2 linked regions of the Drosophila melanogaster genome follow. The protein of the gene in region 2 purifies or fractionates together with the protein of the main gene of each other region. This does not show direct contact. Each region holds a gene or a part of one and is shown on either strand. Other genes may lie near its edges.

Region 1 (4,903 bases), on a different chromosome or scaffold from region 2:
CCCTAGACTAATCCAGAAAACAGCTGATGAAACGCCACTTAATTAGTTTTGAGTGAAAAAATTTGGTCCTCTTGCTACAATTAGATAAAAAATCAAGGTGAAACAAAGTTAAAATTTTTTTCCAAGGACATTGACTTAAAATTAATTTTTTTTTTGGAAATCTCGAATTATTTGGAAATGCAACAGGTGCTAACATACTCAATTCAACAACTTTGAATGAATTCCATTACAGCGAATCATGTAAATAACAGTACAATAACATAACAGCTGGCTGTTGATATTTATCGATAAGTACGTTTAATCGTGGACTTGAAAATAATAATAAACAAATCCGTTTAGTTGTAGTTTTGTTTTTAATATCCTGAATATGGAAGCCTCTTCTTCTGAACACCACAAACGTCTGGAATACTGCACTACAAGATTGAAATACCGTCAGGGCCGCGAATTGAAAGCTGTCAAGGTGGGGAAATAGTAATGTTTAGTAGTAATAGTTTAGTAATAGCTTTATAGTAATAGCAATGTTTTATTGTACTTTTATTGTGTTTTTTATCCTTTGTAGGTTTATACAGTTGCTAGTGAGTCCCGTCATTTGCTGATCTTTGGGGTACCTAAAATAAATCTTCAAGCTAATCTCAGGACGAAACTACAAGGATTTGGTAAAGTGCAATCATGTATTTCGGTAACTTCAGAGATGGCTTCAAAAAGTATGATTATCCCTGTTCAAGATCTTTTTTATATAGTGTTCCTTTTGTTTCAGTGGATCTGGAAGCTTTTACAGATGTGTTTGCCGTGAAGTTCGAGCGCCTTGAGGTGGCGAGAAGAGCCAAGAAAATGCTCGATGCTCATCAGTTCTATGGTGGAATCTTGCACATATCATACGCTCCAGAACGAGAATCCCTTGAGGAACTTAGGGAGAAGATTCAGCAGCGCAGGCACGAAGTAGCTTTTCGTATTCGAAGAAATCAGAAGGATCAAACACAAGTTCCAAAAAAGAGCCGGGAAACCACATGAGTACAGGATGTCAACGATTTATTCAACTTAACTGATTTCAATGAACTTCTAAGGCAGAACGATGTCACTCTTATTGACACAGCGTAGTGCTACTCGCTACCGCTCTATTGCCTCAGCTCCCCGTCCGTTCACTTGGCGAATCCCCAAGCCTCCTGTACTATTTCTGCTTCGTCCGGCGCAGGTCATGGTAGTAATTCAGTAGACCAATGCGCTTTGCCCATATCTGTGCCCCATACGTGGCCCAAAAGCTGTAAATTACCGTAGGATTAATAAGACAACCTGTGATGGTATAAACATACACGCCAAACTTACATGCCAAACATGGCGCCGCCCAAATGCGCTGCGTGATCGAAGAACTTCCAGCCCATCACGACGCCAGCAAAGTCGATGCCCATTAGCACTTTAATACCAGCTCCAGCGGAGAATGTCAACGCGGGTAGAAAGAGAATGCTAAGTTGTGTGTCCGGATACTGGGTGCATACATAGGCCAGCAGTGTCATTATAGCTCCAGACTAAGGGAAGAGCTTTAAGTTTATAGATACTACGTGGAATAAAGGCTGTCTTACCGCACCCAGGGACATCCCCGCCTGACTCGTGGCCGCCTTGTAGAGCACGCTCATCAGACTGGAGAAGACGCCGGCGCTGAGGTAGACCGCTAAGAATTGCTCTTTACCCAACGATACAGCCGCAGCGTTGGCAAAGCTGTGCATCACGTACATATTGGCGAAAAGGTGCATAGCCGAGTAATGGCTGAATGTGGACAGGAACATGGGCCAGCAGACGACTTCTGCGAGAAGGGTATCAAACACAATTAGTTAGGGGGGTTGTAAAAAACAAATATCATAAAATACTACAAAGTAAAAAATAGTTTATAAGTCCAAAACTTTTTGAACTTAACATTTGAACATTTGTTATTCAGGTAAAACCAAAAGTTTACATAAAAAAGATGGAAAATAACAAGCTGACATAACTAGAAGAAATTCGACCACTTTCTTATATAACCATAAATAACATGGATTTCCGGTCGACTACTATTCGTCTAATACTTTTCACGTGTAATGTATTTAATTATTTTTTTAGGCGATTTTAATAATTGAATGCATCTTATCTGATACATTGCGATAATGGCCAAAAAATGCATAACCAAGATAACTTTATACTTCTATTTTTTGTGATTAAAAAGGCAATCAAATCCATTTTGGCATACTGCCTAGAAGTACGTAATTTCGCAAGATCTGGGCGTTGTGATATCACTTTTTCGGTTTCATATTGGATTTTAGCACTTACTCGCCGCTGGATTGGATGTGAAGTAGGTAATCATTGTGGATTTCAGAGCGGGCACCCGCCACATGGCGAAGGCCACCAAATTGCAGAGTAAGATAGGAGCAAACATCTTGTCGCCGGGTGTCAGTGAGTCCCAGTGCCGCCGGATGTCTTGTTTGATCTGTGTCCAGTAATCCCTGTCCGCCAGCGAACGACTCTGCCACCAACCGAATCTCGCCTGGCGAGCCTTTTCTAGGATTAGGCTACGTGTGTTCTCGTACTCCAGGATGGTGGCACCCGCAAAGCAGCCGACCGTAAACTACAAGCGTGAATCAGGGACTATATGAGATCCCCGTACAAGTGCTGGTCATGATTAAATCTTACTGCTCCCGTGAAGGCCACCGCCTTGATCACATTGTTCACCGGCACCGGGGTGTTCTGCTCCGCTGCCGCAGGCTCCCCAGTCGTCGGCTTCAGGTTGCTGCTCTGTTTTCGGTTGCTGTGAATCTGCCGACATGACCTCGCCGCCGGATGACCAGAGTTTATCCGCAGGATTGGCACATTCACATTAGCATGACATCTGCGGCTGTAAGTTTACGTGGGGTTACTCCGGATACGGAACTCCGTCACCGCCTGCTTACTTACGCCACCTGGGGTAGCCAGCTCCGGCAAAGCGCTCGACTCATGAGCATAGTAGTACGGATCTGTGCCAATTTAGCATGAAATATGGAAAATTTGTTTCTATTTTGCTTTCTGGAGAGAAGGGCCCGGAAAAGTATAGGTGTGACCAGATTGTGCAAAGCCAAAAATGCCAGTCTTACAGGGTGTTCTTAGAGTTGCCTGAAGTGTGACAAATGTCTTTATTCATAAATTAATAGATAAATCAAAGCTTTAACATCAAAGATATTACATCTATTCCAGGCATTTATAATAAGCCATATTAAATATAAGCTCTTTTAAATCAATTTTTAAATTAGTAAATTGCAAGTTTTACATAATAAAGGGTATTTGAAGCGTCGAATTTATTGTAATACCTAGGCCCACGGTCAGATTAATTACTCTCGATCGGAATTGTACTCCAACCTGTGGTTAGCGTATTCGCTAAGAAATCGATAGCTAGCATCGATTTTCGATGAAAAAATGAATTTTTACATCACTAGACAATTGGCGTTCCAAAAAGCGACAACAACAAAACACGACTTGCTTATTTTGCTCGGCTAGCGAGCCTTAACACCATTAAGCACGTGTCCGTGGACACCCATCAGGCCAAAGATGTCCAACGGTCGTTACGGGAGATTCGGAGCACTCATCGGCGTCGCCTGCGTGAGCAGCACCCACTGCCGCTTTCTGGTGAGAAGGTCCTAAAGCCGAAAACGGCCGCTGACTCAGATTCTATTTTCATAGATATACTCAACGAAAAATGCCGAGGTCCTGGCCTACCATGAGCTGAAGCTGCGACAGATTGTCCACCAGGCGGGCTGGATGGAGTACGATCCGTCGGAGATATGGAAGAACACACAGGAGTGCATAGAGGTTGTTAATCGCCGGGTTATATCATCATGCGGCAACTAATCTGACTACATTTGCAGACCGCCTATAAGAACCTGGTTATACTAGAGATCAATCCACGTGATATTATTGCCATCGGTATCGTAAATCAGCGGGGCACCTCGGTGTTATGGAATTTGGAGACGGGACAGCCACTGCACAATGCCATCGGATGGTCAGATTGCCGTAGCACTCCCATCCTAAAGACCCTGCTCCATAATGTCCGGCACAATGTGGACTACGTGAGGTATCGCAGTGGCTTGCCCCTGAGCAGCTGTTTCAGTGCCCTAAAGATCCGTTGGCTAATGGATCACGTTCCTGCCGTAGCCACTGCCATTGAGGAGAACAAGTGCTTATTCGGCACCTTGGACTCCTGGCTTCTGTGGAACCTAACCGGCGGCGTTGAGATGGGTGTGCACTCTACTGACATTACCAATGCCCACTACACTTCCCTTATGAACGTGTCCACAGAGCAGTGGGATCCTAAACTCTGCCAGTTCTTTCGATTGCCCCTGAACATACTGCCACGCATACGATCCAACTCCGAAATCTTCGGCTATGTGCTGGAGGGTCCTTTGCATGGCACTCCCATAGCGGCCATGATGGGTGAGCAGCCCGCAAGTTTGTTGGGCCAACTCTGCGTGAAGGCCGGGCAAAATGTCTGTACCCTGGACGACAGCTGTTTCGTGCTCCTTAACACGGGCAGGGAGAAGCTGGACTCTGCAAACGGACTGATAACGGGCATAGCGCACAAGCTGGGCGAAAAAGCGGCCACTAACTACACACTCGAGGGAGCCATTTCAAATGCCGGTTCCACGGTTACATGGCTGCGGGATAAGCTACAGATCAATACTGAGATTAATTCCAATGATAATGTGGTGGAGTCTTTGAATACATTCATCGGCGAGAACTCGATGATCTCGTCCTCTTGTTCCTCATCCATGCTGAATGCCGAGTGTGGACTGGCAGCCAAGAGGTCGGAGATTACGTTTGTGCCGGCATTTCATGGCATGTACGCACCCTACTGGCGACACGATGCCAGGGGCATAATCTTGGGACTTACCAGCCAGACTACAGCGGA
Region 2 (5,320 bases):
AAACTAAAACAAAAATGTCCTCTCCCAGTGAATCCTCTTCAGCTTCTGAGCACGAGGCTAGCGATGACAACGAAACTCAGGTACAAGTAATACAACTATACAGAAATATGGTTTACTACATATGCGAGAACTTCGTTTTAGAATGCCATTCGCGAAGATCTCAAAGGAATGTCATTCGAGGAGATAATGAAACTAAAAGAGGAGCTGGGCGCCAAGGTGTACAAAGAGGCTGTGCTCGGTAGCAAGAGTTCTAGACCCCAAAAACCAAAGGCCAAAACCGACCTCAAGCGGCTAAACAAAAACCGACCTCGTGAAATGACCACCAGACGACAGGTTCCATTTTTGGGCGCCGAGCACAGAGTGGAGCGGAAAAAAAATGTTGAACTCAGAGATCCAAGATTTGACGAAAAATCCGGAACATATAGTGCAGAAACCTTCAAGAAGAACTACCAGTTTGTCTCCCAGATTCGAGCAAAGGAAGTTGGTCAGCTGAAGAAAAAACTGGACGAAGTGGAGGATGAGGCGGAGAAGCACCATATAAAGGACACCATGCAGCGACTTATCAATAAAAATGTGGAGGACAAGAAGTGGCACACCAAACAGAAGCAACTGAAAAAGGAGCGCTCCGCCATTCAGAAGAAACACGATTTGGGACAACAACCTCATTATCTGACAAAGAGTACGTTTCTGATCGACAGCGAAATCAAATTTTAATTTGTTTTTTTTTCCGACAGAGGAGCGTCGAGCTAAGGAACTAGTTGCCCAATTCGAGAAGCTGAAAAACACTGGAAAACTCAACAAGCACATGGAAAAGCGACGCAAGAAGAACGCCGCCAAGGACCGCAAACGCATTGGTATAGAATAAGACTTACGCTTTAAGTATAAATGTATTTTAAACAATTAAAAGCACAGTGCAAATAAGCAAATCTAGCCCGTGCGCAACATCTTTGCTTCCCGCTTCTCCTGCAACTCGCGCCGTTGCTGTTCCACAATTAACTTGCGCTCCTCCAGGAACTCGCCATAGGCCGCCGGATCTATTTCCCTGACCACTTTGATGCCACAGGTCCGAGCAATGCTGATGAGCATCTCACACATTTGCTAAGAGACAAGGCATAAACTTGAGTCGAAGTTATATCTCAAACTTTTCGGAATACCGACCTGCATGGTAAGAAGTACATTGGGCGGGTCCTGAATCTTAATAGCTGCAATCTCGTACAAATGCTTGAGAGTGATCATGCCGGCAACCTCCTTGCCAGGAGTCATGGTGCCCCTTTGTATGCCCGCCGCTTGCTTCAGGAAAAATGTGGCCGGCGGATGGTGGATGGCCAAGTCGTAGCTGCGATCGCTGTTTACGGAAATTCTGCACGGCAGCGGTACGCCCTCTTTCATTTCCGCGGTCTTGGCATTAAAGTCCTTGCAGAAAGCGGCGATATTAATCGCTCTCTGTGTGTGGTTAAAAACAAAATTATATACATATTTTAGTTTTAAAGCCGGCTAACTCACCTGTCCCAACATCGGTCCCAATGGCGGACCTGCAGCAGCCATTCCCGCAGGTATATTCGTCTTCAGTTTGCTCGTGTGCGTCACACGTTCCACCGTCTTCTTTAGCGATTTCAGCTTACCCGCTGCCTTCGACATTTTAATTGATTTATTTTAACTAAACAATTGATTCAAACTGTTATGCAAAGCGAAATGTGTTGGTGGAAGGAAGAAGAAGCAGCAACAGCTGATGGTATTGCTGTCGTTTCTAGTTGGAACGTATAGCTGAATAGCTAAAAACATACTTCCGAATGTGGTCTTTAGCAACATTAAACATGAGATGATGGTTTAAAAGATCCAAATGTCATTTGCACAATAGCAGGCTTTTAAAAATACTATATACAATACTATGAAAGCAGCTAAAATTTTAAAAGCCCTTTGAATTATAGCTAAATGTACAATAGCCAAATTCCCGTGATAAGCAGACGATTAGCCACCCCTGATGCGAAGAAGAAGCATCGCGGCCAACAGCTGTTTGCATTGCCTATCGCCTATCGGTAGTCGAGGGTGTCGCAGCAGGCAGCTTTTGTGGCAGAGTGCCAAATTGAAATCAGCTGCCAGCTGAGAAGTGATAAATTAAATAACAATAACAAACGCCGTGTAATCACATAAACCCATGGCTTTGCGCGGTTCCCACCGCTTGGAAGTGATCTTCAAACGCTGCATTGCCTCCCCGGTGTTACACAGTCATGCAGCCAATCGGAGGAGCAGTCAACTAGCGATCAAAGAAGGCGATCCAAACAGCAATGGTAACAGTGGGCAATATCAGCAAAATGGTGAACAAAAAGAAAAAGGCTGGAGACGATTGGTTCGATTCTTTGTGCCCTTCTCCCTGGGCGCTGTGGTCAGTGCGGCGATCATACAGCGGGAAGACTTAACGCCAACGATCGCCGCTTCCAAAATGACCGGTCGTCGGCGGGACTTCAACTTTATAGCTGATGTGGTGGCAGGTTGTGCGGATTCGGTGGTCTACATTGAGATTAAGGACACCCGCCACTTTGACTACTTCAGCGGCCAACCGATTACGGCATCGAATGGTTCCGGCTTCATTATTGAGCAGAACGGTCTCATCCTTACCAACGCCCATGTGGTGATCAACAAACCACACACAATGGTACAGGTGAGGCTATCCGATGGCAGGACTTTTCCCGCCACCATCGAGGACGTGGATCAGACATCCGATCTGGCGACTTTGCGCATACAGGTAAGCGTACAGTTGAATTTCTAAGCAGCGCAAGTTCTATATGCATATCTTTAAATCCAATCTTACAGGTGAACAATCTTTCGGTGATGCGGCTAGGCAAGAGCAGTACCCTGCGATCCGGCGAGTGGGTTGTGGCCTTAGGCAGTCCGCTGGCCCTAAGCAATACGGTGACAGCAGGCGTAATCAGTTCAACGCAGCGTGCATCTCAAGAACTTGGCCTTCGAAACAGGGATATCAACTACCTGCAAACGGATGCTGCGATTACGTTTGGCAACTCCGGCGGTCCCTTGGTCAATCTGGATGGCGAGGCTATTGGAGTTAACTCGATGAAGGTGACGGCTGGCATTAGCTTCGCAATACCCATTGACTATGTAAAGGTGTTTCTGGAGCGGGCGGCCGAGAAACGAAAGAAGGGCTCGGCCTACAAGACTGGCTATCCGGTGAAGCGGTACATGGGCATCACCATGCTGACGCTCACACCGGATATTCTGTTCGAGCTCAAGTCACGAAGCCAAAACATGCCCAGCAACTTAACGCACGGCGTGCTCGTGTGGAAGGTTATCGTTGGGTCACCGGCGCACAGGTGGGTCAATACCTAAGTGGTTAACCTATCAATCAACCAGCATTTTCCATTACAACGTGCTTTTTTGCTCTACCTCCTTTTTAGTGGTGGACTCCAACCCGGAGACATAGTGACCCACATAAACAAGAAGGAGATCAAGAACTCATCGGATGTCTACGATGCCCTGGCGGATAATAGTAAAACTCTAGATATAGTGATCCTGCGAGGTGTGAAGCAGATGCACGTGACCATTACGCCAGAAGATCCCTAGTTTAACCTGTATGCAGCACCTGTACCCAATTGTATATATTTATATATCTAAACAAAACCTACCGATCCTGGGAAGAAATCGCTGACAAACCCACCCCCCACACGCTCCTATTCCTAATCGGGTGCGCCTGCCTATATTTGTCTCTGGCTAACGAGTAGGGAAATTTGCATAGATCGCGGGCTCGTTATCAGTGGCCATTATTAACAGCGGCACGACCATAAGTTAATCTACGCATCGGACGGCACGAAAATGTATCTCCGACTGGGTCGATTGGGTCGTCTGTCCGTTTCCGAACATCATCGATTTCTCTTTCATGGAGCGCTGTGCGTGTCCCCTACCATCCGTCTGTCTGACCGTCCGTCCGTCCGTCCGTCCGTTTGTCCTCTTCCAACAACGACAAAAATATATTTACGCTAATTGAAATATCTTGCGTTGCGATCAATCGATGCCATATTTTTTATAGGCCAAACCTCGGCAGTGCAAAAAATGCAGCAGCAACATCAGACGCAAAAAACGTCGAAAAGCGAAATGCAAATTTCAATAAATTTATGCAACTGTATTCCCAGCGCTTCACTTGGCCAGCTGTTCAATACCCTCGATAGGGGTACGTTAGGTATATTTTACAAAATGAAAAATTCTATTTTTTGGGTGCTGAGAAGTTCAATGGTCGAATAGCGAACTTATTGCAAATTATTATTAATAATTATTTTATGAAACTGAACCTTTAAAATGTATTGTCTAGTTGAATCACATTGCATATTCAGACAAAAATATTCAGTCGTAGTTTATGATGTTAACCCTATTTCATCGAAACAAACATGAATGTGTAATTGAAATGAGTCTTCTCAAATCTACATGTTATGTGCATAAACAAAACAAACCTAAAATATGACCTAATAGTTGAAATGCATTAAATGGAATTTGTATCCGAAACAATCTTTGTACACATTTAAAAAAAAGGGTATTCAAACCTCACATAGCTGAGCTCAGATTGGTTTGGCTTCGGTTTATTTGTGGGTGACAAGGCAGACGTTGCCAATGATGATGTTGTTGCCGCTGCTGCTGCTGCTGTTGCTGTTGCTGTCGTTGCGTGAAAAGTGAAATTCTTGTGATTATTAATTTTGTTTTCGCTTTTGGCGATGCTACGCTTTTTTGGCTTTTGCATATAAATTCATATATTGATTCCGCCGGACTGACCATTGTTGCTGGCATTGCCGTTGTTGTTTATGTGACAGCGGCCTTTATGACATTGTTGGCACTAAGTTACCTTTATTGCTTATAAGCCGCACGCATAAATGCAGCTTAAAGTTCATAAATTTGCCAATATTCACTCGGCAAGGGGTTAAGCAAACGGACCTCGCTTTTGCGATCGTGTAAACACTTTTTACTTCATTCACTGGCGCCCCACGCTTTTTGCACTTTCTTTCTGCCATTTCAGCCGCTTGCTTGCCGGGCATTCGTTTCCATTTCCATTTCCATTTCGGTTTCGGTTTTTAGTTTTCAATCTCATTCCCAGTGCCGTCTGCACTCTGTGCGCCGACTAATTGAAATATTTAAAATGCATAAAAGTATCGCATTTAAGCCTTGCAATTAGTTTGTGGTGATCCCGCAGTTTGCCGTCGTCGTGGGTACGGATATGTAGATATATGTTGTAGTCGCCAGTTGTTGTGGGGCGCTTAAATTACAAACCTGTGAGAAATTTAGTCGCTGGTTTAGTTGCTTTGTGACTGAGGTGATCCATACA

What was found.
Region 1: the proteins of HtrA2 (region 2) and rho-7 purify together in Drosophila melanogaster (affinity purification with western blotting, with the first as the bait; one study listed by BioGRID). This does not show direct contact.

The regions. Positions count from the first base shown.
Region 1 is NT_033778.4:11,985,704-11,990,606, forward strand, and holds rho-7 (rhomboid-7), read right to left. Parts: upstream 3,085-4,903; 5' UTR 2,967-3,084; coding exon 2,920-2,966; intron 2,861-2,919; coding exon 2,659-2,860; intron 2,594-2,658; coding exon 2,299-2,593; intron 1,951-2,298; exon of another isoform or gene 1,799-1,950; coding exon 1,578-1,798; exon of another isoform or gene 1,524-1,577; coding exon 1,324-1,523; exon of another isoform or gene 1,260-1,323; coding exon 1,169-1,259; 3' UTR 1,012-1,168; downstream 1-1,011. Other genes in the region: CG34231 (uncharacterized protein), read left to right, coding at 368-460, 560-704, 758-1,011; CG8298 (uncharacterized protein), read left to right, coding at 3,547-3,624, 3,679-3,807, 3,864-4,903.
Region 2 is NT_033777.3:14,508,242-14,513,561, reverse strand, and holds HtrA2 (HTRA2-related serine protease), read left to right. Parts: upstream 1-1,849; 5' UTR 1,850-2,155; coding exon 2,156-2,743; intron 2,744-2,811; coding exon 2,812-3,326; intron 3,327-3,410; coding exon 3,411-3,576; 3' UTR 3,577-4,513; downstream 4,514-5,320. Other genes in the region: CG8461 (uncharacterized protein), read left to right, coding at 15-80, 142-679, 735-865; mRpL11 (mitochondrial ribosomal protein L11), read right to left, coding at 928-1,098, 1,159-1,443, 1,504-1,638.